Elephas maximus indicus: one gene and its partners. The protein of the gene in region 2 interacts with the protein of the main gene of each other region in a biochemical or structural test. Links are inferred from orthologs where the notes say so. Each region holds a gene or a part of one and is shown on either strand. Other genes may lie near its edges.

Region 1 (7,957 bases), on a different chromosome or scaffold from region 2:
TTGACCTTAAAGACGTGGATTGAGTAAAGCTTTCGGGACCTTCATTTGCTGGTGTGGCACGACTCGAAATGAGAAGAAACAGCTACAAACATCCATTAATAATCAGAACCTGGAATGTATGAAGTATGAATCTAGGAAAATTGGAAATCACCAAAAATGAAATGGAACACATGAACATTGATATCCTAGGCATTAGTGAGCTGAAATGGACTGGTACTGGCCATTTTGAATCAGACAATCATATAGTTTACTGTGCTGGGAATGACAGCTCGAAGAGGAATGGTGTTGCATTCATCGTGAAAAAGAACGCTTCAAGATCTATCCTAAAGTACAACGCTGTCAGTGATAGGATAATATCCATATGTCTACAAGGAAGACCAGTTAATACAACTATTATTCAAATTTACGCACCAACCACTAGGGCCAAAGATGAAGAAATAGAAGATTTTTATCAGCTGCTATAGTCTGAAATTGATCAAACATGCAATCAAGATGCATTCATAATTACTGGTGATTAGAATGTGAAAGTTGGGAACAAAGAAGAAGGATCAGCAGTTGGAAAATATGGCCTTGGTGATAGAAACAATGCTGGAGATCGAATAATAGAATTTTGCAAGACCAAGAACTTCATTGTAAATACCTTCTTTCACCAACATAAACGGCGACTATATACGTGGATTTCACCAGATGGAACACACAGAAATCAAAATGACTACATCTGTGGAAAGAGATGGTGGAAAAGCTCAATATCATCTGTCAGAACAAGGCCAGGGGCAGACTGTGGAACAGACCATCAATTGCTCATATGCAAGTTCAAGCTGAAACTGAAGAAAATCAGAGCAAGTCCACAAGAGCCAAAATATGACCTTGAGTATATCCCACCTGAATTTACAGACCATCTCAAGAATAGTTTTGATGCATTGAACACTAGTGACTGAAGACCAGACAAGCTGTGGAATGACATCAAGGACATCATCCATGAAGAAAGCAAGAGGTCACTGAAAAGATAGGAAAGAAAGAAAAGACCAAGATGGATGTCAGAGAAGACTCTGAAACTTGCTCTTGAGCATCGAGCAGCTAAAGCAAAAGGAAGAATTGATGAAGTAAAAGAACTGAACAGAAAATTTCAAAGGGTGGCTCGAGAAGACAAAGTAAAGTATTACAATGACATATGCAAAGAGCTGGAAATGGAAAACCAAAAGGGAGGAACACTCGGCGTTTCTCAAGCTGAAAGAACAGAAGAAAAAATTCAAGCCTTAAGTTGCAATAGTGAAGGAGTCCATGGGGAAAATATTAAATAACTCAGGAAGCATCAAAAGAAGATGGAAGGAATACACAGAGTCATTATACCAAAAAGAATTAGTCGATATTCAACTATTTCAAGAGGTGACATATGATCAGCAACCAATGGTACTGAAGGAAGAAGTCCAAGCTGCTCTGAAGGCATTGGCAAAAAACAAGGCTCCAGGAATTGATGGAATATCAATTGAGATGTTTCAACAAACAGATGCAGTGCTGGAGATGCTCACTCGTCTATGCCAAGAAATATGGAAGACGGCTTCCTGGCCAACTGACTGGAAGAGATCCATATTTATGCCTATCCCCAAGAAAGGTGATCCAACCAAATGTGGAAATTATAGAACAATATTTTTTTTTTAATCATTAATATCACACGCAAGCAAAATCTTGCTGAAGATCATTCAAAAGTGGCTGCAGCAGTATATCGACAGGGAACTGCCAGAAATTCAGGCTGGTTTCAGAAGAGGACATGGAGCCAGGGATATCATTGCTGATGTCAGATGGATCCTGGCTGAAAGCAGAGAATAACAGAAGGGTGTTTACTTGTGTTTTATTGACTATGCAAAGGCATTCGACTGTGTGGATCATAACAAATTATGGATAACATTGCGAAAAATGGGAATTCCAGAACACTTAATTGTGCTCATGAGGAACCTTTACATAGATCAAGAGGCAGTTGTTTGGACAGAACAAGGACATACTGATTGGTTTAAAGTCAGGAAATGTGTGTGTCAGGGTTGTATTCTTTCACCATACCTATTTAATCTGTATGCTGAGCAAATAATACGAGAAGCTGGACTATATGAAGAAGAACAGGGCATCAGGATTGGAGGAAGACTCATTAACAACCTGCCTTATGCAGATGACACAACCTTGCTTGCTCAAAGTGAAGAGGACCTGAAGCACTTATTGACGAAGCTCAAAGACCACAGCCTTCAGTATGGATTACACCTCAACATAAAGAAAACAAAAATCCTCACAACTGGACCAATGAGCAACATCATGATAAATGGAGAAAAGATTGAAGTTGTCAAGGATTTCATTTTACTTGGATCCACAATCAATAGCCATGGAAGCAGCAGTCAAGAAATCAAAAGACACATTGCATTGGGCAAATCTGCTGCAAAGGACCTCTTCAAAGTGTTGAAGAGCAAAGACGTCACCCTGAAGACTAAGGTGCGCCTGACCCAAGCCATGGTATTTTCACTCACATCATATGCATGTGAAAGCTGGACAAGGAATAAGGAAGACCAAAGAAGAGTTGATGCCTTTGAATTGTGGTGTTGGTGAAGCATATTGAATATCCATGGACTGCCAAAAGAACTAATAAATCTGTCTGGGAAGAAGTACATCCAGAATGCTCCTTAGAGGCAAGGATGGCGAAACTGCGTCTTATATACTTTGGACATGTTGTCAGGAGGGATAAGTCCCTGGAGAAGGACGTCATGCTTGGCAGAGTACAGGGTCAGCAGAAAAGAGGAAGACCCTTGACGAGGTGGATTGACACGGTGGCTGCAGCAATGAGCTCAAGCATAACGATTGTAAGGATGGCTCAGGACCGGGCAGTGTTTCGTTCTGTTGTGCGTAGGGTTGCTATGAGTCCGAACCAACTCGATGGCACCTAATAACAACAACAACAACGTGTGTACATCATACTTACCTAGGAGTGGTGTGTGTGTGTGTGTGCGTGTGTGTGTGTAATGCAGATTCCTGGACTCTCCCTCTAAAAGATCTGAAACAGAAGGTCTTGTTAATTAGGTAGCTAGTTTTCCAGGTTAGTCAGGTACACAGCAGACATGGGAGCTGCTGAAATCTAATCTAAACTCCTGCTACTCAACATACGATCCACCAACTGTACTGGCACCACCTAGGAATTTGTTAGGAATTCTGAATTTCAGGCCCCTATCCTAGATATACTGAATCAGAATCTGCACTTTAACAAGATTTTAGGTGATTCATATGTGCTGTTAAGCTTGAATAGCAAGCATTGATCCAGGGTAGTGTGGCCCCAGACCTAAGCACCAGCATCACTTAAGAACTTGTCAGAAATGCAAATTCTCTGCCTGTGTCCCAGGTCTTCTGAATCGGAATCCCTCTGGGGTCAGTTTGTAAGCTGTTAGAGCAAACCCTTGGTGTACCCTCAAGTTTAAGAACCACTGATCCAAATTACTATCCTGCGTTTAGCTATGACCATTTCCAATTTTAAATCACCTCGTATGATTTTTAGCACCATAATTCTATTTCTAATGTCAGTGAAAATCTAGGAGAGTTAGGGAAAGCAGGAACTGACAAAAATCTACAGTAATATGTATATACGGAACAATACGCTGCGCAAAAGGTAAGAACTGGAGATTCCTCTTTTTCAAAGTTGGAGATGATATTGGAAGGGCTCTCTAAGTGGGTGAACACAGAGGCCACATGGCTGGTTGGCCATAAAACTTGCTAAGAGCAGCTCCGTTATTTTTCAATAGTTATTCTAGAAAAGGTTTTACTCCCACTTTGACTTCTAAATTTTAAAACGCCTCCACCTCTGAAAAAACATCTTTCAATGGCTGTCAATTATAGTGAGGACAGCAGGATAAGCCACCACTTTATTTAAAGAAGCTACCAGAGGATATCAGCTCCAGGTGTTTCTAAATATAAGAGCGGGTGTAGGGGGTGTCCCTCAATTTTATAAACACAGCAAGCAAGGTAAGGCTTCCTATCTTTCTTCAAAATAAAAGTCCACAATACTAGCATTTTTCATCCTTTCCCAGGATATAACTCAGAGTTTTTACATCTATTTTAAACTCATCGGAAGACTTAAAAAAGACTTTCTGGGAAAGGAAAATAAAAACTCAAGTCAACAGATAGCTCTAAAGACCCTTGTCTCTCTATTGGGACTCATTCTTCCTTCATTTAGATAGTAAATCTTTATCAGTCTTTTGTTTACTTCGGGATCTTTCTGCCACTTCCTTCCATGTTTTCCAAAGCAGACTGCTAGAGGCCAAAGACCATGACCTCCACGTGCTGAATTCCCTCTGGACAGGAGCTCTGGTTAATAATGGTTAAGAGTTCGGCCGCTAACCAAAAGGTGGGCAGTTGGAATCCACCAGCCGCTCCTTGGAAACCCTATGGGGCAGTTCTATTCCGTATGGCATGGTCGCTATGTCTCCGAACGCTATGAGTTGGCCAGCAGTTTTTTGTACAGTCGGGGAAGGAAGTTTCTTCCTAGGCCAGCGCCTTCAGCAAGGCTGGGCTGCATCTGGCCAGCCTCAGCGTGCTCTGCGCTCACGCCGGCGGTTCCCCGGTGGCTTGGCCGCCTCAGCACCGCTGCCCGCAAACGGGGAACGCTTGGGCGCCGTTCCCCTCCGCCGGCCCCGGGCAGCGCGGGGCTCCGGGCTCCTCTGTTCCTCTGGGGCCCAGCAGGGGGCGGCCGGGGCTCGGCGCCGCCACAGGGCGAGGAAGGGCCGAGACGGGAGGAAGTGGCTGAAGTCGGGGCCGAGCCCGGGGGAATGCAGGGAGTGGGGAGCGGCCCCCGGGCCCTCCCCCGACCCCGGGCCCTCCCCCGGCCGGCCCCGGCCCTTTCCCCGCCCCGCGCGGGCTCCTGTGACTGGAGGTTCCGGGTCCTGTGACCGGTCAGGCGGTGTCGGTCGGTCGGCCGGCCGGGCGGGCGGGCGGGCCTCGGGGGAGTTTCTGTGGCCAGCCGGAGCTAGGGGCCGGCTCGGGGAAGGGGCTCGCCGACAGCCGCGGCCCGGCCTTGCCCATGGCGGGCGGGGGAGGCCGGGACCTGGGCCGGGGGGCGGCTGCCGACGCGGTGCCCGAGACCCGCGAGCACCTCTTCAAGGTGCTGGTCATCGGCGAGCTCGGCGTGGGCAAGACCAGCATCATCAAGCGCTACGTCCACCAGCTCTTCTCCCAGCACTACCGGGCCACCATCGGGGTGGACTTCGCTCTCAAGGTCCTCAACTGGGACAGCAAGACGCTGGTGCGGCTGCAGCTGTGGGACATCGCGGGTAAGGGAGCGGCCGCGCCAGGAAGGGCCTTCGCGAAGATTCCGTCCGTCGGGAGCAGGGAAACTTGCTCATTTCCTCTCTTTTTTTCTTTCTCCTCTGCCTGATCTTGCCAGTGTGCGTTTAGGAGAAGAAAGAGGCTAAGCCAAATAAAAAAATGCGACAATGGTTAGGTGGACTCTGGTGGGATCAGGACAATGGAACGAGCAGTAGTAGTTGAGAAATTTAAAAGCAGGATAAAATAAATAAATGAATAAATAAATAACCCTGATTAGATGCCTCTGCTAAGTCAGCGGGAAGCCCTCAATTTTAAAAGATGTAAAGACGTCCTCTACTCCAGGATTGTCTCAGGTGACAGAAGGTGGGGAAGCCGTAGAGGCTTTTTCAGAAGTTTTAACTCTGAGTATTGACAAGCCTGTAATACACCAGGAAAGGAATGGCTGCTTTGGGAGAGGCCACCTCCTCAAGTTCAGCTTTAACATTTCACAGATGAGAACTGAAGTTCAGAGTGAGTGAATAACTTACCCAAAGTTACACTCCTAGTTAGTGACAAGCGCTACAGGAGAAACCAGGTTTCAGAACATTTCCATCGTGCGTAGGACACTTTTCTGGGAGTGAAACTCTCCGTTCCTCAAACATCCTGTCCTTATTCAACCGTTAGGTCACCTAGATGAAGATTTGGGGGAAAAGCCGATACTACTATCACGGTTCCTAAACCAATGCCCCTTACCCCTTCAGAGACGTTGTTTCGTTAGCATTTGCTTTCAGTTGTCATTTTGGAGCAAGAGAGTCTTTCTTTTTGAGGGAGTACACATTCCCCTCCCTCTAATTTATGAAAAACTGAGCTCTGGCTGGTGTGGTGAGTGAGACGACTGCCGATGCGTGACCCTGAATGGAGAAAACGTGGTATTATACTTGTGGCCATTTAAAAAGATATTAATTATGGAACTTTGGGGAAATTTTAAATAAGGAAATGGTAGCCAAAACTACGCTGTTCGGTCATGATTGGTGTTAAGAATTAAGCTCAGTTAAGAATTAAGGAAATGGTAGCCAAAACTACGCTGTTGGGTCATGATTGGTGTTAAGAATTAAGCTCAGCCTGCAATAGAGCGTGTGAATGGGAGCATGCTTAAGGTTGGAGGACACCTTTGAACTGGCCTTTCACACATCATAAACTGAGGCCCATGGAGGGCGTGATTACCTAGCTGGCACCAGAGTGGGGGTACACAGGTCTAGTTTAGTGTTCTTTCCTTTTAAAGCCTATTACTTTGAAGAAAGGATTGTAGAATTAAAACCCATATATTCATTTATTTAAGAACAAACTTCACTGCTCAAATTAAAAAAAAAAAAAAGCATATCAATCCCTCAGAGAAAGGTACTTAATCAGCTTTGGGCTCAGCATCTTTTTTTTGTTTTTTTGGTTACAGAAAACCAAAAGTTCGTTTGAAGCCAGAGGCTTCTTTCAAAACACTTCCTGCGATTGCACAGAACATTTAATAAACAGTATTAAATAACTGCCTTGCTTCTTGATTCTAAAGGTTGCGTAAACATGTGACAGTCATTCTCCAGAAATCCTCAGAGTAGCTATGGATTTCCATGAAAATGACTTTAAACCTTTGACTAGGATGGTGGTTGACACTGCTTTATTCTGTATGTGAAAGAGTATGATATATAGCTACTAAATTAGCACTGGGTCCCACTGCAATAAATGAGTACGAACACCTAGATTTTTATGCCATAGTTCCGTTTTTAGGCTTCATAGTCAAATGCTTTTGTTTGAAGATTTGGGAAAACAAAAAGATGACTAAGAGTTTTCTTTGTAGGTATCTAATCTCCTTTTTTCATTCTTCTTGAACATACTTATGTAGCCAGGAAGGGGGCATATCCAGTCTTTCTCAGACCCTGGTACACAGTTGCCTAGGTGACATAGCCTTGCTCTTTTGCCTAAAGCCAAATCTTGAGTTTTGCCAGGAAGGAAGGCAAAATTTGAATATCTCCAAAAAGAATTCCTGGATGTTAGATACTGTTGTTTGGTTCTGGGTACCATTAAGCAAGTATACATAGCAATTAACTAGATTAGAGGTAAGATTATGAGGCATTTATAATTTATTAGGTTCACCTTACAAGGTTTTCAGCTAAAAAAAAAAAAAAAAGAAGTCTTAATATATAAATTAATCAAGAGGCAAAAATAACTTAATTTTAACCAAAGTTAGGGTACCTAAGTCATTAACCATGTTCAGTTCGAATAGTTTAGCTGCTGCTGAAACCTAGTTCGTGCCATTTGAATTAAGTAGTAATGATAGGTCCTATGAGTTGGAATCGACTCTACAGCAATGGGTTTTTTTTTTTTTTTTTTTGATGTAGTGAAGGAAATCTGAAGGCAACTCCAAAAATTTCCCCCATGACTAAACGTACTTGCCTTATGTAGTAAGAAAATTGGGCTTTATTTAATTTTCAGAGAATAGAAGTATTCCTTGACTGCAAAACAGTCGGTGGAGTCAGCCACTTAATATGACTGATTTAAGGTGTTTGTTAGTATTAATTAGGTTTTGTTTTAGAGGTGGGTAAAACGATAAAGAAATTATGTAGAGTCTCTATTCTTGAACACTTTGACAAGTGTGACAGGCAAGAGTTATTTAATATTGGAAGTTAAGCTCAACTGTTCA
Region 2 (7,403 bases):
ACACACTCCCAATTACTCTCCCCCTAATGAGACAGCCTGCTCTCTTCCTCCACTCTCTCTTTTCATTTCCATTTCGCCAGCTTCTAGCCCCCTCCACCCTCTCATCTCCCCTCCAGGCAGGAGATGCCAACATAGTCTCAAGTGTCCACCTGTTCCAAGAAGCTCACTCCTCACCAGCATCCCTCTCCAACCCATTGTCCAGTCCAATCCATGTCTGAAGAGTTGGCTTCAGGAATGGTTCTTGTCCTGGGTCAACAGGTCTGGGGGCCATGACCACTGGGGTCCTTCCAGTCTCAGTCAGACCATTAAGTCTGGTCTTAGAAGAATTTGGGGTCTGCATCTCACTGATCTCCTGCTCCCTCAGGGGTTCTCTGTCGTGTTCCCTGTCAGTGCAGTCATTGGTTGTAGCTGGGCACCATCTAGTTTTTCTGGTCTCAGGATCATGTAGTCACTGGTTCATGTGGCCCTTTCTGTCTCTTGGGCTCGCAATTGCCTTGTGTCCTTGGTGGTGTTCATTCTCCTTTGGTCCAGGTGGGTTGAGACCAACTGATGCATCTTAGATGGCTGCTTGCTAGCGTTTAAGACCCCAGATGCCACTCTTCAAAGTGGGATGCAGAATGTTTTCTTAGTAGATTTTATTATGCCAATTGACTTAGATGTCCCCTGAAACCATGGTCCCCAGACCAATGGGTGGGGATTTTTATCCTCATTTTACAGACACGGAAGCCAAGGCTCGTACAGGTAAAGTGATCTGCCAAGGCCATTGGCAAACTGGTAACAGAATGGGTGTTAGTGTCTGGGCATCCATAGGCCTGAAGAAGGCCTGTGATGCTATCAGACATTGTTATGGGCTGCTTAACCTAAGCTCCAGGAGGGCTGTGTGTACTGTGGGATCAAAGCCCAGGCACTTGGGGTAGGACACAAGTCTCAAAGGCACTGGGAAGGCCCCTGGGCTCCCTTTTATGGCTTCTCTATATGGTCAGTATGTAGGCCTCTGGCTCCCCAGCCAAGCTCCTTCATGATTCCCAGGTTCTGTCCTAGCCCTGAGGTGTGCCAGAGGCAGACCTTGGGTCCACTGCAGACTTTGACACTTTCTCAGGACACAGTATCCTAGGAAGGGGGTTGTGGCTTGCAGGTGCAGAAACAGGTGCCTTGGGAATTAACTGCTCCTGGAGCATGGATACTTGTTAAAATAGACCAGACCTCCCAGACCAAAGGCAATGGCCTCATGGGGGAGGCCCCACAAGGGCTGAAGGACAACTTGGGTGAGAGCAGACGAACATAACTCCCTTCCCCAATCCCTCCTGCCCACTGGAAGCTTCTAGGTGAAATAAAAACTGGTGGTGTTAGGTACTAAGTAATCTAAGAGGACTGGATCAGGGAAGGGCTGGCATACAGAAGTGGTCAGGTGACCAGCAGGTCCCAGGAGACATGTGGGGGGCTGGAGTGGCTAAGGGCTCCTTTGGGCAGGAAAGAGCGAGGTGTTTGTGCTGGGGTTGAGCCCCCTCGGCAGGGAGGGAGCATCAGAGAGGGCACAGGATGTGTATAAGCTGGGGGTTCTGGGCCCAGAGCAGGCCTCCCTCCAGAAGAATCCCAAAGAGTTTAGGCATACTTCCTGAGGGAGGGGGGGAACAAATCTTAATAAATCCATAAAGAGTATATGAAATCCTCTGTTTCACTGGAAAACATAGTTGTACCCTACCTGTGTTCATTTTCACTGAGTCCCATTGCTATCAGGTTAAACATGACTCTACCTGGGTTATGCTGCCTCCATGGTTACAAAATCTCTCAGAATTGGGGCCCATGTGTCCATGTCTGTGCCTGTGGCTGGTGGCGTGGCAGTTTGTGCAGATGTTGGTGGATTGGGTTGGGTGGAGCACCCCTTAGGGCTCTGAGGCTGCCTCTTCTCCACCATGGCCTCTGTATTTCTCTTGAGGATTTCAGCTCCTTGCCTTTTCCACTCACTGTCGCTTGGTGTTGGCATCTGTTTCCCAGCTACTGGCTGCCTGTGGGTTTGGTTTCCACGGTAACCCCCAGTGGTACAGCTGGACAGGCTTGAATGCAGGCAGCCCTATGAGGGTAAGAGTAGAGGAATCAGGGCTCAGGCACCCGGTGTTTGCTCCTGCTTCAGGGCTCACTTCCCTGGACAGCTCAACTGGGCATGCCTGACGGCCCTTGGGGGTCCACTTGCTACTGAAGCAATGCCTACCTAGAAGGGGCAGAGATGGACCCCTTCTCTGGGGACCAGATGCTAAGGGAGGGGAGCCAGGTTGGGCCTAGAGGCTGGCTGTCCATCCTTCCTCTGTGTATGGAGACAGGTGAGGAGCAATCTTGTGGTTCCCCACTTTCTGTAGTGGTCCTCACTCCCCCCACAGATGGAGGTGGATGGCCAAGTTGTGGGGCATCTGAGAACAAGCCAGATAGATGATGGGCCTGCTTCTGGCAGAGGCCAATGGGAGTTGTTTGGAGTGATTAGGAGGACCTACTGGAACCCAGCTCTGCTGTCAGCCCTGAAGTAGCCTCTCTCCTGCTTTCATTCACAGCCTCCCTCTCCCATTTTCTAATTAAGGTCAGAGTCCTAACTATACAGATGCCCACTCCCCTTGAAAACATATAAAAACCGACAATACGGGCAAATTACATAGCAGAATTGTGGACCTACCTTTCCAAAAGTCTGCCTGTAGGATTGCTTGACAAGGGCAGATCCCCAGGTGTGGTGGTATAGTGGGAGTCCCACCTAGGTTTCCTGGGTATCAGTCAAGGGCTGACCCTCAAGGGGACCATTTCTGCATGGAAAACTTGGGAGGGTCAGTCTCCCCAAGAGCAGGGAAGAGTTGTGGGGCCCAGCTCCTCCAGCTCCTCACTGCTCACCCTTAATGAGGTCTTCGCATTCTGAGCAGAAGCACAGCTTTGAAGCAAAGGATTCCAGTTCTAAGACTGCAGTGTTAGGAGAGCAGTTTCAGTAGCTTTGCTTGCTGTGTGGAAATGTATCATTCATTCATTCAGTAAACCTTATCCAAGAGTGTAAAATAAGAACCCAACAGAGAACAAATCAGACACTGCCCTTCTCTCACAAAGTAAATGACCTCTAAGATTCCTCCCAGGAGCCAAGGAACTTGTCCAGGGATAAACTGCTGTTTGGAATCACAGGGCTGCCTGGCCTAGAGCCTGGGCTGGCCTCTGCACCAGCAGGGATCTGGTGCTCCTGCTGCCAGGAACTCAGTTCCCAGCAGCATTCATCTGCTGAGTGTGTGCCAAGCCAGTAAGGGAGGTGCTAGTGAGAATTTTAATTAATACTGGATAATTACCAGGTGGAGCTTAGCCATTCCCAATGCCCTACAGGTTCCCAAGCCTACGGTTAGTTCCTGGCTGGGTCCTGCAAGAGAAGGAAGACTCTGTCCTAGGCCCACTGGGCCTTTGGTCGGCACCTAGGTTGTGGCATGGATATCCCAGGAAGGTCTCCACCTTTTTCTATTGCCTTCCAATCTGGTGGGAGTAAGGGCAAGTTGGGAAATAGCCTAGCCTCTCCAGTTTACCTGTGTCCCCCCACCAGGTACAAAGGATAACAGTGTCTTGTCTTTTCAACTTCATCAAGCAGTGATGGCCAAGGGCCTGGGATAGGGTGCAGAGAGGGGAGGGGTGTGCAGACCTAGACCTGGGGAGCCTGGTGGGAGTCATCAAGAGAAGGAACTGGCATAGAGGTCGCTCTTGCATTGGGCCTTATTCCCTTTTCTTACTGTTTGGCTGAGTGAGCTCTTACAGGCTTATTTCTCTGCAGGTAGGTCCCAAATTACTATCTCACTGAAACTCCTACTACCTACAAAGCCTTCCCCTTCTGACATTTCAGACTTCCTGCCAGCCTCCCGAGCGTCCTATGATCACTCCACCATTTCACCCTGAGGCCAGGGTGATCCTGACTCTTCCAGGCTTTGCTCTTACTGTTATGTGTGCTCAGATGGCTTTCTTCCAGATCTTCCTGTGACTGGATCCTGCTCAGGGCTCCGGGCAGCTTGAATGTCACCCCCTAAATTGGGCTCTTAACTCTTCAACATAGTGGGAACCACGCGCTGCGATAGTCGTGTTTGCCCCTGCTGCCTGCCCAGTAAGCAAACAAGAGGCACTTAGCGTGTGTTGAGAGCATAAATGAAAGGTCTTCATGACCGGGTGAGAGGCATTAGCCAGCGCCCAGCCTCACACGTAGACCATTCATTCCTTCATTCGCCGGTGCCCAACCGAGAGGCAGCTGCGGGAGACCTACCCCACCACGACCCTTGGCTGCCCGGGGAGGACAGCTGCCCAGCGGCGCACGCGCACTGCGGGCTGGCGCTCGGCGGGGACGCGCACGCCCGCGGCCGCGTGCGTCACAACCCGGGAGCCTGCCCCGCCCCTGCCCGCCCGCGCGTCGGTCTCCGCGGCGGCGGCGGCGGTGGCGGCCCAGTGACAGCGGCGGCGGCGGCTCCAGGCCGGGGGAGATAACGCAGGTCGCGCGGCCCGGAAACGCCGACCCGGCCGAAGCGCGGCGCGGTGTGAGGAAGGCCGGACCGGGGCCGAGCGTGAGGAGACCGTGCGGCCGCCAGGTGAGGGGCCGGCGTCAGGGAGCGCGGGAGGCAGTGGCCGCCGGCGGCCCAGACCCGCCCGTCCCCGCGGCCACCGCCGGCATGAGCCACATTCAGATCCCGCCAGGGCTCACGGAGCTGCTGCAGGGCTATACGGTGGAAGTGCTGCGGCAGCAGCCGCCCGACCTCGTCGACTTCGCGGTAGACTACTTCACCCGCCTGCGTGAGGCCCGCCGCCTGGCCCCCGTCCCGCCCGCCGCCGCCCCTACTCGCGTTTCCTACGGGCCAGAGCCCAGCCCCGAACCGGTCGCCGATGAGGAAGACGAATCGGAGGACGAAGAGGACTTGGAAGGTAGGCGGCGGGCGGGGCCGAGGTTCGCTGGGGGACGAGGGGCTGTGCAGGGGGTCGCTAGAGGGCAGAGGACCGCGGGGGGCCGGGCGTCCCGCGGGGGCCGGGCGTCCCGCCGGGGACCGGGCGTCCCGCCGGGGGCCGACCGACCGCCTGGGCAGTGACCTCAGGGGTCTGGAACGGAGTTTCTCGGGTGTCCCGGAGCCGCCAGGGTGAACCTCGCGCGCCCCAGTTCCAAATCGAGCTCCAGGGCCCTCAGAACCGTAGAGCGCACCGAAGGGTTTGTCAGATTCAGCGGTGAAGGAAACGTGCGCGCCTTCAGCCGGGTGGTGGCGCGGAGCGCACGCCGGCCTCGTCCGAGGAGCCTTCGCCTCTTCTTGAGGCCCGTCTCGTTTTGTTCTGAAGACAGGAGCACTAGCATCGGTGATTCATATTTGATTTTCTGGACGGTAACCTTGTTTGGTTATAATTAATTTTCCGAAAAACTTGCAGCATGGACAGAAGTAGAGAGAAAAAGTAAACCTCTGTATACCCATCACCCAGATTCTGCAGTTGACAGTATGGTTCATCTAGTACTTTTTCTTTTTTGCCTTTGTTGAAGTATATTAAAGCAAATTCCAGACAGATTATTTCACCCCTGCGTACTTGAGTATGTATTTTAAAATATAGGCTCTGGAAATATTCTTTATTTATGTTTTTTTAATTTGGTTAAAACAGTTGAATTTAATTTTATGAGGGTGAGCAGAATAACAGTCTCTTCTTTGCGTTTAAAAAATTTTTGATAGTTTCTGCCGTTATACAATCAGTTTTTAAAAATAAACTAAAAATCTTGATAAATGTGTGGGCTGCAGAAAAGAAAGATAACACTTTTACATCTGATTTAAGCGAGGATGTCAAGAAGCAATTCCATTTCCTTGGTTGCTTCAATATAGGCTTTATCAGTTTGACGATAGAATTATCTTACTTTTGAACAGCTAAAATTTAACATAACAATTAGGCAGGCCCATAAAACGAGACTAAATGGGCACACCAGTCCAGGGGCAAGGAAGAGAATGCAGGAGGAGACAGGAAAGCTGATAATGGGGAACCCCAGGTCGAGAAGGGGAGAGTGTTGACATGTGGGGTTGGCAACCAATCAATGTTACAAAACAATGTGTATTCATTGTTTAATGAGAAACTAGTTTGCTCTGTAAAACCTTCATCTAAAGTACAATTAAAAAAAAACAGCGGTGAAAACACTTGAGAGACAAAGTTAGAGCCTTGGAATTGAAGTTCTGCATTGTTCAGTTCTGGCCCCCCATTCCACCCACTGCTAGCAAGGAGTTGATTGCTGTAGGAGGTTGTAAGCATCAGGACAAGGTCCCTAAGTTTGTTCATGCTAAAAGAATAGAAATTACTCTTCTGTGTTTCCGTTGACTTTTTGCACATTACATTATAGGTTTTCATAATAAATCTGGAAATCAGAAGTTGTTTTCCAAATCTCTCCCACAGATTTACTTTGTGATTTTGGACAAATTGTCAAATGTGTTTCATTTTAGATTTACTTATCTTTAAAATAGGGACAGTGACAGCAGTATTCCAGGGATAGATGTGTTTTTTTAAGAGTTTTATTTTAGGAGTGACTCAGGGTTTTTTTTCACTGTCATTCTCTGTAAATCGCAAAGTTGTAACTTGTTTTGCCACAGTTTTTATTTACACAAAACATTAGAGGAATATCTTAAAAACTACCCCCTTAAGTAAAAGAGTTTCACATTTTTTGTATTATGTCTTTATTCTTTGTCATGTTTGATATCTTTTTCAAAATTGAGTTGATTTAACATGGGCTTTGGTCTTTTTGACTAACCCCCTTTTATAACATGTTTAATAAAAAGCTGAGCTCTTAAAAAAAAAAGTTGACGTAAAATCTTTGTAACACTGTGCTCTATTGCTGTTTAAATTTTTTATTTATGTCTCAAGTAGTTGCACTATGTGTAATTATAGAAATAAAAGCTATACATAAAGAAATGAATTTCTATTTATAAATAATAGATTAAAAATACATTCCACATTATTAGAGTAATAAGCCCCCACCACCTAAAATTAGATCAGATATACCCATTCTATTTATAGAACTATGTATAGCTAGGAGGCTTTGCTTAGTAAGATCCTGTATAATGGCATGACTAACCATCATTTCCATTTATAAATTGCATGCTAAATAGGAAATAATTAAGTAACTTATTAGCTGTTATTTGTTTTAGTAACAACTTAGATATCAAAGAGCATATCAAAATATGACTATTAAAATGAATATCTAACTCTTGGGAAGGCCTGAAGAATTCAGACTTATTAAGTTACTCTGATTGCATCATAAAGACAGTAAATTGGCATTCAGACTTGATTCACTTCTGAAATTACCATAAAACATTTTATGCTTGTGGTTCTCCTCAGCATTTTTTTGTAACAGCTTTTTAGAGATTTAATTCACATTCCATATAATTCCCTCATTTAAAGTGTAC
Region 3 (7,195 bases), on a different chromosome or scaffold from region 2:
AATTACCAGATCTGTCTAATTCTAAAACCCAAACTCTTCACACTCTACTTCATTTTCATTCAAGCAACATTGTCTCTATTCCGGACTACTACAACATTTACTTTTTTTATAAAACATTCTCAGATTACTAAAAAAAAAAGGTGTTAACTTTTCTCCTTTATCAGTCTCTAATCTATATGTCTCAACTGACTTTACCTCAGTATTTAAAAATAAAATTAACTTTCGTATATAAAGATGAGTACAAGAATAAAGGCATTTGGAGCTGTCGAATCTGTTTTAAACTGATAATGTATTTTCTGCACCCTTCTCCCATACTATCAATTTACACATCCTTAACTCAAGTCCAGGCTAGGCTTAGATCTTTTAGTGACTTGTCCCCAGCCCTCATGCCCTCCAAGTGGTTAAGTGGTTGATTTTATTATTAAAATGCAGGTCACTAGACCGAAAATAATAATAAATCTGCTTACCAAAGTAAGTACAGAGCTACCTCCATTACTTTTCAAAGGACAGACAAAACAAACATCTCACAAGTTTGAAACTCCTGCCCAAAAAAAGGTTAGAGAGACCATGAAAAAAATTGTTTTTCTATCCCTGAAATAAATTTACCAATATAGAATGTGACGGAACTTTTCTAATCTCGACTGGGTTTTTTGTCCATTCACAAAAGGACAGCTCCTAAGTTTTTCACATTTTCTCCAAGTTTGGGCAGAACGCCTCTGCCTATTTATAACTGGAAAATTCCCTTTAAATGACCTGTAATATATTATCTGATTTGGTTTAATTTTTTGGACAATAAGCTTCTGGAATTTAAAAAAAAAGTACGTACGTGTATACGTATATGTATCTGTATCTATAAACCCATTGCTGTCAATTACAACTCCTAGCAACCCTATATATATATATATATATATATATATATATATATATATTTATACACACATACACACATAAGTGTGTACACACACATACATTTAGAGAGAGACCTTCTTCCACTCATGAAACCCTCGTAGTGTAGTGATTAAGAGCTATGGCTGCTAACCAAAAGGTCGGCAGTTGGAATCCACCAGGCACTCCTTGGAAACCCCATGGGGCAGTTCTACTCTGTCCTCTAGGGTCACTATGAGTCGGAATCGACGCGAAGGCAGTGGGTTTAAGGGCAAAGGAGTATTTCTTCAGCTTCTAGACTTCCCCTGGGAGTTCAGAGGATAGAGAATTTCTCATTGCTGTTCTGGATTTTAAACAAGTACTATATCCTAAACAACTGGGAAATATCACTGGCCTCGGAGTATGACTACGTACTTATCAACAGTGCAGTTATTAACTGCAGTTAACAGTGCAGACAGAAGTATAGTATATACACTAGTCACTGGTTACTAACTCAGCTTGGGAACTCACTTCTTCCAATTCCCTTACACCCTTCCCCCCCTTTTTTAACTGTGATGAATATATAACAAAACATCTATTTCAACATTTCTTACATGCTGTGACTTTTACAAACATCATGTTGTTCAACTATCACTACTATCCGTTTCCAAATTTTTCCATACACTCTGACCTCTCATAAATTACTGTTATTCACAACTACAGTTAATCATGACATTCACTGCCAATTTTGAGGTTACCCTTTTGCCTCAAGGAACACCGTATGAATAACCAGGGTACTATTTGCAATAACGCGACTGCGTACTCAGAAAAGGTCATTAAATTGCGCTACACTATTTTAACTGACACCAATCACGCTAGGCAGTATGCTGCCCTTTACTCTAAAATCATAAACAAGACATTAAAACGAAGCCATCTTTGCATTACTGAGAACCCTATTCTGAGTACTTTGTATTTTCTCATTTTCAGACTATCAAAACACTCCTAGCAAAGTGGGAAGAAGCTAAGGGGAAAACTTTAGAATTTTCCAAGGGACTGAATAATTACGAAGCTGAAAAGAAAACAGAATTTTTAACTCCAGTTTGCACTAAGACCGCTAGATAAGGATCTCCGCAGTATTGCTCATTCTGAAATTCCTGAACATCTTAAGACACACCACTTCGTTTAATAAGGTTTAAGAAGAGAGGGAAAACAGAAGAAATGCCACGTTCTATCAGTGTAGTGGTTTAGATTTTACTGTCATTGTCATTTTGCCATAGTTTTTAAAAAACGAGTTACAACTACATATTTTTATAAATCAGCTTTGTAGATCCCTGGAATAACAAGATACACAATCCATTTGGAATACTGGATAAACCCAAACCCTCTGCCTTCAAGTCAAATTCCGACTCATAGCGACATGTTCGGAGAGAACCGAACTGCCTCACTGGGTTTTCAGGGCTGTAAATCTTATGGGAAGCAGACTCCCAGAGCTTTCTCCCCAGGAGCGGCTGGTGGGTTCGAACCGATGACCTTTAGGTTAGCAGCCCAGCGCTTAACCACCGTATCTCCAGGACTCCTTGGAATACTGGATAACTAGCGTTTAAGCGATTAACAGTTTAGGAAAGGATTTTACAGCCAATCCAAATATGAGTTCTCTGAAGAGCTGCTTGACGCCTTCCGTTTCTGTCACAAGATTTGGGCTGTGCCTGGTTCCAAGGCTCAAGGAGCCTGACAGTAAGGATGATGTTTGGGGACAAACTGCAATGTCCTCCTGCATTTGCTCCTGTACTCGCACCAGCAACACAAACCAGCACGTACCGGGAGTACCCGGCTCTGACGACACACCGGGGATGGAAACTGAACCTGCCATCCCAAGAGGTGGCAGCTGCAACGCCACAGCCCGGATCCCAGGTTCGCCCGGATCCCAGGTTCATCCGTCTCAAGCCCCGAGGACCACCTCAGGCTTCCTCCGCGCCGCTCCTCCCGCCCTCCTCCCACCACCGTTCGAAGGCGCAGCTGTCCGGCGGCCCCGAACCCGAAGCCCGGGCGGCCGGGCTAGGGCGCCTGAGCCGGGCCGCCCATCCATCCTAGCCCCACACATCGCCGCCTCCCCTGCCAACGCGCTGCTTACGCCGCGGTGGGGTCCGCGTCCGGCTCACCTGGGGGCCGCAGCCTTAGCAGCTCACAGGCATGTCACCGGCCCGCAACGACCAGCCGCGCGAGCGGGGCGAACAGGCAGGCGCCCCTCCCGCACCGGACCCCAGCCCTCCCCCCTCCCCACCCGCGGCCCTCCCCGCCCTGCCCACCCCCTCGCCTTCCGCCCACCCCCTCGCCTTCCGCCGCAGCAGTTCTAGCCCGCGACACTGCCTACTCCCCACGCCTCCCACTCACTCTCGCGAGAGGGTGGTGCGCCTCTCGCGAGAGCAACTGTGGCCAAGCCCGCGCAAAAGTGGGTGGGCTTTAAAAAAGGAAAGGAGCAACAAGGAAAAGCCTTCCCACGTGCTCGTAGACAGCTCCGGATCGGCCCCACCGTTCACGTGACGCCCAGGCGTTCTCCCCATTGGCCGGAACCCGTTCGGCCGTGGGGGCTTTAACTCGAGGCCGACCTACGAACCAGCGCCGGACGTCTTGCGCGCTTCCTGATGTGTTGCCCTGGAAACGGTTTAACCCTTTCTTCTGGGAGCATAACCACGCCTCGGCTAGCTCCGCAGGTCTGGTTTCAGGCCCTGCCTCTTTTCCCTTCGACCCCATAGTCTTACCGCCTGAGGCCAGCTGGACTTTTTCTTCGCCTCAAGGCCCGCTTTGCTTTCTTCTGAAGCTCTGAGCCCTTCCCAAGGCAGCAGCCCCACCAGATCTGACGGGCCTTACTTGGCCCATCCTTTCGGGATGACTCCGCCCCTTCTCCCTGCATCTCTGGGGAGGACCACTCACAGCACATCAGGCCCTCGGCCCTCTCCGCGCCGCAGGAATTAGCATCAAGGGCTCCCAGGCCCTAATGCTCACCTCTTCGGTTTTACGTGGTTTGGGAAGCGGAAAGGAAAGCTTTGGCTCGGAGAAGCCTAGCACGAGATGAAAAGCTAGGGCGCTGATTATGTCCACTTAGAAGCGGCAGGGCCGGTCAGGTTGCGCTGTCTGGGGCGCCTGTTCCTCAAGGGTGAAAATACCAGATAAGATGAGAAAGACGTGTTTAAGTGTATCCTCCTTGAGTCAAATGCTGCCCTGTTTGGAGGACAGGGCCGGGGGAGATGCATTCATATGTACATTCTTCAACAGATTTTTGTTGAGCTCCTGCATTTATTTTAGGCACTACTCTAGGCTGTCGACTGAGCATCGATGAAGATAAATAGTGTACGTTCCAGGGAGCTTACGGGGGTGTCGGGGATACTTGACGTTTTGCTCTGCGCGAAGAGCAGTTTGGTGATGTGACGGTGATTGTGATTGGGTGGCTATTTCAGGTAAGGCCCTTCAGGAAGGAGACAGTTAAGCAGCGATTTAAGTAACCGTGATGCAAAAATCGGAGGGAAGGGCATTCCAGGCACAGGAAACCGGTAACACCAAGGTCCAAAACTGGGACTTATTCTGGTGCGTTCAAGGGAGGGGGGAAAAAAAAAAAGAATGGAAGAGGAAATGAGTTTGGGGATATAAACAAACATGGACCAGATCCTGTACGGCTTTGTAAGCCCAGAAAGTAAAGAGAGTTTATTCTAAGTGCAATGGAAAGCACTGGAGGGTTTTATGTAGGGGAGCGACACGTATGGTTTACGTTTTTTAAAAAAAACTCTTCCCTGCAGAGAATGGACGTTAAGGAGGCCAAAGCGAAAGCAGGGAGATCAATTAAGAGACATGTAGTACAGGTGAGAAACAATCGGTAAAGACTTAATTTCCAATGACCTTGCCATTGTCTCCTAAAATCTATTAGGTCAGAACTCTGGTGTTTGCCACCTTTGTTAAAAATACCTGGATAAATCATGACGTATTGCTATTTAAGGAAGCCCTGGCCTTTTTTTTTTCTCTGGTGGTGGAGTGGTTAAGTGCTAGCTACTAACCTGAAGGTTTATGGTTGGAACCCACCAGCCACTTTGCAAGATAAAGATGTGGCAGTCAGCTTCCGAAAAGATTACAGTCTTCGAAACCTGATGGGGCACTTCTGCTCTGTCCTGTAAGGTCGCTAGGAGTCAGAATTGCCTCTACTGCAACAGGTTTGGTTTTTTAGTTTGGTATTGCTGTTTAATTACAGAAAGATAAGTGGGAGTTTTTTTTATTGGGAAATGAATGGCCCAAAAGGAAGGGCCACATTTTTCCCTTGGTTTCTTCCTTCCATTTATACCACATAGATAACCACGTCTTCTGTCCATACTTAAAATCAGTTCTGAGAAAAAGTAACATAAAGTGAGGTCCAATGTAGATGGCTGTTCCTAAGTGTAAGGTTTGAGAATATTGGAGGCTGAAGGCTGGAAAATCATGAGGGTGTTTCACTACAAGACAGAAATCGGGAGACTTGAATTCCAGCTCCAGGCCGGTCATTACCTAGTGACTCAACTAAATCAAGATACTTTATCATCACTAGATCTCAACTTCCTCATTCAGCAACCAAGGCAGTTTAACTAGCCTACACACAAAGTCGTCAAGCCTGGATTACACTTTGGCACTCTCACGCAAGTAGGACAGAAGCAGGAAAGGGAAATGAAATGAATCTTCATAAAAAACCTCACAGAGCCGGCAGCACAAACCAAATAAAATTGGACACACACGCACGCAAACACACACCCCGGCTGAGGAACTATGAAACTGATTAATACAGATACCAGGCGTGCTTCCCTAAGAAACCTTGGCCTTCTCCGAGTGTGAAAACGGAAGTATTGCCACCTGCTCAACCTCATATTCCGTTTCTCTGAAGCTATTTTAAACCAATGTATTGCTTAATAAATAATGATTCACATGTTCCTAATCAGGGCTAAAAAAATAGATAGAAAATAAATATTAAATAGGTCTGAGGCAATATCTTAAAAGAACACCTTAATTTTAATGAAACCAAAATTTCAACAAATATTGTAGGGTCACTTACTAAAAGCAAAATGATTTTCTTTGAAGATAGTATTTTAGCAAATTAAGACCATTGTTTCTGTGTCTTCTGCAGCCCTCAGTGTGATGAACTGAAACAGCTGCTTGGTACTGTAAATTTAGATGAAGGGTGGGCTCGACTGTACGTTTCTAGCTTGTGTTAGAGCTGTAAGTCCTCCCAGCTCGCTCTAGCAAGACAGCCATTGTGGTCTCCTGTGCTATAATTATTTGAAGTACAACGAATATATAAAATGAGAAGAAATTTAAGATTAATGAGTTCCATGTCTATAGATGTCCCTGGCTCCTGCATTCTTTTTGGTTTTTCTTAAGAAAAAAAAAAACAGCTTCATTGAGATATAATTCACAGGTCATACAATTCACCTATTATTTAAAGTGTAAGTCAATAGTTTTTAGTATATTCACAGAATTGTGCGACCATTACCACAATCTAAGTTTAGATCATTTTGTCCCCCATCCCCAATAGCAGTCAACTCCCTTCCTCTTCAGCCCTAAGCACTCACTGAGCTACTTTGTTGTTGACTGCATCTCTATAAATTTGCCTATTCTGGACATTTCTTATAAATGGAGTTATATAATATGTCAATCACAAATATCAGAACTTTTTTCTTTTTTTTTTTTGCTATATACTATCCCATTGTATGCATATACCATATTTTATTTATCCATTGAGCAGTCAATAGACACTCGAATTGTTTCTACTTTTTGGGTATTATGAATAATGCTGCTACGAACATTCACATACAAGTATTGTGTAGATGTTGTTTATTTTTTTTTAGTACTTTATATGTTGTTGGGTGCCATCGACTCAATTTTCAACTCATAGCGACCTCATGTGACAGAATAGAACTACCCCATAGGGTTTTCTAGGCTGAGCCCTGGTGGCACAGTGGTTAAGAGCTCAGGATGCTAACCAAAAGGTCAGCAGTTCAAATCCACCAGCTACTCCTTGGAACCCCTATGGGGCAGTTCTACTTTGTCCACTAGGGTCACTATGAGTTGGAATCAATGGAAGAGGATTTGGAATCTTTATGGGAGCAGATAGCTAGGTGTTTCTACCATGGAGCTGCTTTCTACCATGAACCACCAACATTTTGGTTAGCAGTTGAGCACTTAACCATTGTGCCACCACGGCTCCTTATAAGTCATTAAATTCATCTAGTTCACAAAGTCCATATTCTCCTAGCAGTTACTTTGTTTCTAGACTTTGTCTTTTTACGTGCTGCTTGAAGTATCTGTACTCTATTCCCAA
Region 4 (6,981 bases), on a different chromosome or scaffold from region 2:
TATACATATGTGGTAAAATTATTTATAAAATTCAGAATACTGATTATTTTTGTGAGAGAAACAGCGGATGAGATATAGGAGGGACACCAAAATCAACCATGTTGGGTATATTCTACTTGCTGAATGAATGACTATTTTATTATTTTTATATCTTCTATAGTGTATCATTTTCTAATATACATTTACCCATACCCATACCCACTGCCGTCGAGTCGATTCCAACTTATAGCGACCCTAAAGGACACCGTAGAACTGCCCCATAAGGTTTCCAAGGAGCACCTGGTAGATTCCAAATGCCGACTTTTGGTTAGCAGCTGTAGCACTTAACCACTATACCACCAGGGTTTCTAATACACATTTAATATTCTGTAATTCAAATTTCTAATCCTAAAAATAATAATAACAAGCCAACCTCCTACTTATCTTATGCAACCTGGGACCTAAAAATTTTTACTTCTCCATACTAGAGACATGGTGAGGAGGATCTTCCTCGCCTCTTCAAAAAATAATGCTCTCCAAGTTTATACAGTTACATACCACATCACGTCCATTTGGGCCACGTTCAACCTCACATACGCCTGTGGTCTCATAAGTTATAATACAACCCTATAAGACAGAGGGTTTCCAAGGAGTGCCTGGTGAATTCAAATGGCCAACCTTTTGGCTAGCAGCCGAGCTCTTAGCCACTACACCACCAGGGCTCCAAGGTTCTAACAGAGTTCAGAAATCGACATAAAAGACATAAGGAGATGTAGCAAACGCAACAGCTTGCCGCATGCAACCCGTGTATCTCATGTCTCTAGTATGTCTTAAATCTCATGTCTCAGGGGGCTGAGTGGGCAGCCGGAGAGGCGGCAGGGCTTTGTCCAGCTCCAAGCAGCTGGAGCTCACTTGAAGTCAGCAGAGAGAGAGAAGCAGTGTAGGACGATGCTGTGATGCTAGAGTACAGGGGAAGCAGCTGGTGCTTCTGGCGGTGCCCCTCAGTGCTCAGACCCACATGGCCTTGTTACACACACAGATACATGGTATTCACACAATGTCCAAATCACATAACGTCCTATTTCACAGAATATATGGTGGATGTTAAGCAACGCATGACTGTATTGCTTTTGGAGAATGGAGCACCTCAATAGTTGCTGGTTGGGCATGCTGTGACATGCACTAGCTTTGTTCTGGAATATATGGTTTTGCTTTCCCTATGCTAACACGCAATATGCACAGGCACGAAGAGCAAGTGAGCTCACCTCCCAGGTGGAGGTGATGGTGTGTGGTGACTCAAAAAACTACGTGCTGAATCCTAGACTTTTGAACAGCTGACATACTGAACCACCTGTTTTCCAACCAGCATTTATATGGTCCCGGTATGAAAGGCTCCTACAGCAAAGCTTTGAAGTATGAAAGCAGAAACATATTTGGCATATTGGTGTTGGCTTTTAACTCACAAAGAATAAAAATAGAAATGACACCATGTGAAATCTTATCTTATTCACATTCTGGGTAAAAAGGTTGTCAGAGCGAAACAAAGTACATTCATACTGATACCATATGCCCATTCCACAAGGAGTGGGGAAGCCATGGGTGGTGGGGAGTATCGGGTGGTGGGGAGTATCGGGTAATGGAAAGGACGTACAAAGAATCCGAAACCTGAAAATCAGGAGGCAAGTCCCTCCTCCCCTATTTAGCAGCTGAGTTACTTTGGCTAAGATTTTTGTTAAAGCTCAGGTTCTTGATCAATGAAGATAATGATAATACCTACCATTGAGCATTGCTGTAAAGGTAAAACAAGGTCATGTGTGTGGAAGCACAAAGTGAATTACAAAGTTCTGGTACAAATGGTGATTGTTTATATATGGGCCGATCTGAGAGACATAAAGTTCTTTCTTAAATAGCCAAAAGCCACCTAAGTGTCTGGCAAAAAGTTGGCATATATTAAATATTTGTTGAATAATAAGAAAAAAAGAGGGAGGGGAGGAGAAGGGAATCCTCATTTTGTCCGTTGGGATCATATGAAATTAGGCTAATTCCTCTCCCAGATAAACATTTATTTAGTTACAAAACTTGTTTCCTACTTTACTCCAGAAAGGATATAAGGGAGCTTACAAAGAAAACCAAAATTCACCAACAGAGCATGAATTTTAAATGGTACAGAAGAAAAGAGAATACAAGGAAGTAGACAGGAATGAGTTTTTAAAAAGGAGCAGAGGAGGGAGTCTCGGCCTGGCTATAGTGGACCACAAACAGGTTCTAAACATTACAGCTTCGAAAACAAGAAAAAAACATGGTCAGATATGTAATGACCAACATCAGGGGCATCACTGGGGAAGTGGAGGGGAGCAGACTGCACCCAGTAACACTGTCAGAGGAGGTGACAGCAAAATGACTGTCTATAAAAATACCCCTGTCGTTAGTTATAACAACAAAAACATTTTTTCTGAGCCCAGCTTACGCGTATCAATATACCTACAAGGCTAAAATTCTGTGCTAATTTACTTTTTGAACCTTCTAATACACTCCCGTCAGAGCTGCTGTCATTATTATCCAATTAAAATGACACTCAGAACCATGTGGTTTCATCTTCACGTACAACAAGCACCGCTATTGTTTTCGATGTTGTCGGCGTTTTTACAGTCACTGATCTTGTAAAATTTTCTGTTTTATCTGCATTATTGTGGTAATTAGTATCTGTGAACCTATATCAATAACTTTTTTGCGAATGAAGTAGGAGTTAACGGAAAAGAAGGAGTGATACACGGAAATTACGGTTTGTGAGTTACATTAGCACAAAAAACATTACTAAGGATTCTATATGGTCTGGTACAGGAGGATGTCCATGGAGGGAGTGACACCATGAGTTACCTCACTGGGTGACACCAACCCTAGTGATGCCATTGCCCAACATCCATAAGGTAAAAAAATAGACCAATCATTTAAGAGAAGTACTGACCTTCTTGGTGCTGAAGATGAGACTTCTCTGAAAAGGTAACTGTGGGATGAAAGCATGATGCCCTTGGCACTGCTCTTCAATAGACAAAACAAGAAGCTTCATTGAGCTCTGCCCATATGGGCCCTCAGTATAGGCTGAAGGCATCAGACCTAGGAGCAATTCAATAAAAGGAACTTTGCATGGAGCCAGGACAGTGCAACCCACCCAGCAGAGTCTCTTCAATCTGGTTTGACTCAAGGATATAGAACAGATTACTTGCAGGAGGGAATGTTCTGCATGTCCTTCAAGCAATGCACCCCAAACATCATTCACATTCCTACAAACTTCTTAGCTCTGCCAAGGGGTAGGCAAAATAAATAATGTTTAAATGACAGCAAACACAAGACTAGGTGGCCAGGAATTCTTGGCGCAACTTAGCAAGAAGGAACAGAGTTGCTAAAACAAATCTCAACTAGCTTGTCAGAGAACTAAATCAAAAACACAAGATAGAGTTTCCTGTCATGTGAGAGAGACAGCATGACAGAAATCCCTCAGCAGCTGATGAAGTTAAGAGCATTCATTCCACTTTTATTCTCCCAAGGGGGGTTGTCTAAAGTTGAAAATACACAGAGATGAATGCTCTAAAGTGCAGATTATTTACAAGCATACAACATTATGTCTGCTCAGAAAAGTCAATACATAGATTCCTTTCCTTTCCAGAAGAGGGATCTCACAGGAGTGTAACAGGCCTGGCAAAGGCACCCAGTTTTCTCATGGCTTGGTTGGCTCAGCATGTTGCTGGTCTGGCCATTCCTTGGGCATGGCCCCCTTGCTTATGTCAGATCAAGCTCAAATTGGCCAAGCATGGGCATATTATTAATTTCTGGTGGGCAGTAAATCTGCACCCTTCTGGGTCAGGTCAGCTGTCTTTAAAGGGGCATGATGAGAAAGAAAGGCAGCCCAAAGAGAGACCTCAAAAGTCATCACCGAAGAGAGGAATCGAATAATGGATCTGGACCAGGGGAAGAACTGAAAGCACATCTCTCAGGGAAGATAAGGTGGAAAAAGAATCATAATTTTAAAGAAAACTACACTAATCATTCATTGAGCACGTTTTCTCTTGTAGACACTGTACTAAATCCTCTACATCATGGCCACAGTTAATCCAAAAAAACAACTCTAGGAAGTAGATACTCTTATTACCTACACTTTACTGAGGAAGGAACCCAGGATGAGAAAAGAACCCTTTTGGCAACTGGGTGAGGGGTGCAGGAAGACAGATGGACTAACAGTGCTGTGGCTTTCCTCCAGACACGACGGCATCCCTCAGTGTGAAGCTACAAAGACAGTCAACAGAAGGTTGGTGGGGGAAGCTCTTCAGATATTTGACAACATTCACTCCTCTAAGTAGATTCTAGAGTGCTTTGAATATCACTTAGTCTCTCAGTCATGCATTCTTGATGGGAACAATAGTCCCTAGAGGGTGAACATTTGGCACTTGGGGAAGAAGAATGAAAAAAACCTTACTCTTCTATGTATAAAGCACAGATACACAAACAGTACATAAACAGATGTAAACATATCTGTGGTATTAAAATTCAGAGAAAAGTACCTTAAAAAGCTCCTTATTAAGCTGTAATGAAACAGCAGTTGAGAAATGCTGCTGTGAAGGTTTTGAAGGAGGCTGGGGGCAGGCGGGGAGAATGTTTTAATCAAAGGCTACTTTCTATAGCTTTTTTTTTTTTTTAGTCACTATTCTTGTTCTTGGCATTTAAAATAAACATTTCCAAAGGCTTGTTTCTTCCATTCTGGCCCAGACTGCAATTATTACAAATTCCAGAAAAATATTGTTTTGCTGTCTGTTTGTAATATGATCTCTCTCAAAAGAGTCAATACAATTTTCAGTTTGTGCCTCCTTGTAACACGTCATCTTGTTGTCACAGGAGCTGTGAGGTCGCGTCGGTGATTCTGAACGCTACCTTCAGTCCCCAGAATTTCCAGCTTTATCTCACAAGTTTGACATCTATAACTCATTGCTGTCGAGTCGGTTCTGACTCATAGCAACCCTACAGAACAGAATAGTTTTCAAAGGAGTGGCCGCTGGATTTGAATTGCCAAACTTTTGGTTAGCGGGCAAGCTCTTAACCACTGCTCCACCAGGGCTCCTTGACGTCTATAGGAAGGTTAAATATACTTGGCTATCTCTTTATTAGATTTGCTTTTTTTCCCCTGATATTTCAAATACAGATGAAAGGAACTTGTATGTGGTCATGCATTATGTTGACCCTCCCAGAAAGCCAAAATCCTGGTGTTAGGTCATAGTCCTATAAAGGCCATGCAGTGACCCTCCTGCTCTGGTCTGAGAGAGAACCTGGAGAAATTGACGGTTGGTATAGTTCTTAGACTGCCTGAGGTGTTTTTTAGAGATTATTTTTGGAGCAGTTTTAGGTTTACAGAAAGTACAGAGAACCCAAGAAGACATTTAGGCAGCTAACAGACACATAAAGAAATGCTTACAATCATTAGCTATTAGAGAAATGCAAATCAAAATTACAATGACATACCATCTCACCTTGACAATACTGGTACTAATCAAAAAAAGAAAATAATAAATGTTGGAGAGGTTATGGGAAGATTGGAACTCTTATGTACTGCTGATGGGAAGGTAAAATGATACAACCACTGTGGAAAATGATATGGTGCCACCTTAAAAAGCCAAAAATAGAAATAACGTATGATCCAGCAATCCCACTCCTAGGACTATACCCTACAGAAATAAGATCCATCACACAAATAGACATATGCACACTCATGTTCATTGTAGCATTATTCACAATAATAAAAAGATGGAAACAACCTAAGTGCCCATCAATAGCCAAAGGATAAACAAACTATGGTCCATACATACAACGGAATACTATGTAAAGATGGACAATAATGAATCCATGAAATGTCTCACAACATAGATGAATCTTGAGGGCATTATGCTGAGTGAAATAAGTCAGTCACAAAAAGACAGATATTGTATGAGACCACTATGATAAAAACTCAAGAAAAGGTTTACACACAGAAAAAAACAATCTTCGATGGTTATGAGTGACGGGAGAGATAGGGAGGGGAAATCACTAAACAGATAGTAGACAAGTGTCAACTTCAGTGAAGGGAAAGACAACACACAATATAGGAGAAATCAGCACAACTTGACCAAGGTAAAGTCATAGAAGCTTCCTAGACACATCCAAATACCTTGAGAGACTGAGTTGTGGGGGCTGAGGGCTGGGGGCCATTGTCTCAGGAGACATTTAGGTCAATTGTCATAACATAGTTCATAAAGAAAATGTTCTACATTGTTCTTTAGTGAATAGCCTCTGGGATCTTTAAAGCTTGTGAGTGGCCATGTAAGATACAACTATTGGTCTAATCCCTGCTGGAGCAAAGGAGAGTGAAGAAAACCAAAGGTACTAGGAAAATATTAGCCCAAAGGACTAAAAGACCACATGAACCACAGCCTCCACCAGCCTGAGCCCAGATGAACTAGATGGTGCCCAGCTACCACCACCGACCGCTCTGACAGGGATCACAATAGTCTTTGACCAGACCGAGCAGGAGAAAAATGCAGAACAAAATTCCAATTGACAAAAAAAAGACCAGACTTACTAGTTTGACAGAGATTGGAGGAACCCCCAAGACTATGGCCCCAGACAATCAGCTAACTCAGAAACGAAGCCACTTCAGAAGCCCACCTTTCAAACAGATTAGACAGGCCTGTAAAAGCTTCTTAGTTCAATGAAATATACGAGACCAAATGGGCAACTCCTGCCCAAAAGCAAGACAAGAAGGCAGGAAGGGACAAGAAAATTGGGCAAATGGACACAGGGAACCCAGGGTGGAAAGGGCCGAGTACTGCAACCAATGTTACCCTATTATTAACATCATCCCTTTCATGAGATACATCTGTTACAACTGATGAACCAATGTTGATACATTATTATTAATTATCCATAGTTTACATTAGGGTTTACTCTTTGTTTACAGTTCTATGGGTTTTGACACATACA

Evidence for each region.
Region 1: the proteins of PRKAR2A (region 2) and RAB32 interact in a test that uses a peptide from one of them, tested with the Homo sapiens proteins (2 studies listed by BioGRID, with this or other methods). The link is inferred for Elephas maximus indicus from reciprocal best matches to the Homo sapiens genes PRKAR2A and RAB32.
Region 3: the proteins of PRKAR2A (region 2) and AKAP11 form a complex in vitro, tested with the Homo sapiens proteins (2 studies listed by BioGRID, with this or other methods). The link is inferred for Elephas maximus indicus from reciprocal best matches to the Homo sapiens genes PRKAR2A and AKAP11.
Region 4: the proteins of PRKAR2A (region 2) and PALM2AKAP2 form a complex in vitro, tested with the Homo sapiens proteins (2 studies listed by BioGRID, with this or other methods). The link is inferred for Elephas maximus indicus from reciprocal best matches to the Homo sapiens genes PRKAR2A and PALM2AKAP2.

The regions. Positions count from the first base shown.
Region 1 is NC_064819.1:217,462,379-217,470,335, forward strand, and holds the start of RAB32 (ras-related protein Rab-32), read left to right. Parts: upstream 1-4,952; 5' UTR 4,953-5,044; coding exon 5,045-5,294; intron 5,295-7,957. UniProt on the Homo sapiens protein: The small GTPases Rab are key regulators of intracellular membrane trafficking, from the formation of transport vesicles to their fusion with membranes.
Region 2 is NC_064838.1:53,375,265-53,382,667, reverse strand, and holds the start of PRKAR2A (cAMP-dependent protein kinase type II-alpha regulatory subunit), read left to right. Parts: upstream 1-4,381; 5' UTR 4,382-4,658; coding exon 4,659-4,908; intron 4,909-7,403. UniProt on the Homo sapiens protein: Regulatory subunit of the cAMP-dependent protein kinases involved in cAMP signaling in cells. Type II regulatory chains mediate membrane association by binding to anchoring proteins, including the MAP2 kinase.
Region 3 is NC_064832.1:38,917,319-38,924,513, forward strand, and holds the start of AKAP11 (A-kinase anchor protein 11), read right to left. Parts: upstream 3,010-7,195; 5' UTR 2,735-3,009; coding exon 2,683-2,734; intron 1-2,682. UniProt on the Homo sapiens protein: Binds to type II regulatory subunits of protein kinase A and anchors/targets them.
Region 4 is NC_064827.1:59,082,679-59,089,659, reverse strand, and holds the start of PALM2AKAP2 (A-kinase anchor protein 2), read right to left. Parts: upstream 3,016-6,981; 5' UTR 3,001-3,015; coding exon 2,945-3,000; intron 1-2,944. UniProt on the Homo sapiens protein: Binds to regulatory subunit (RII) of protein kinase A. May be involved in establishing polarity in signaling systems or in integrating PKA-RII isoforms with downstream effectors to capture, amplify and focus diffuse, trans-cellular signals carried by cAMP.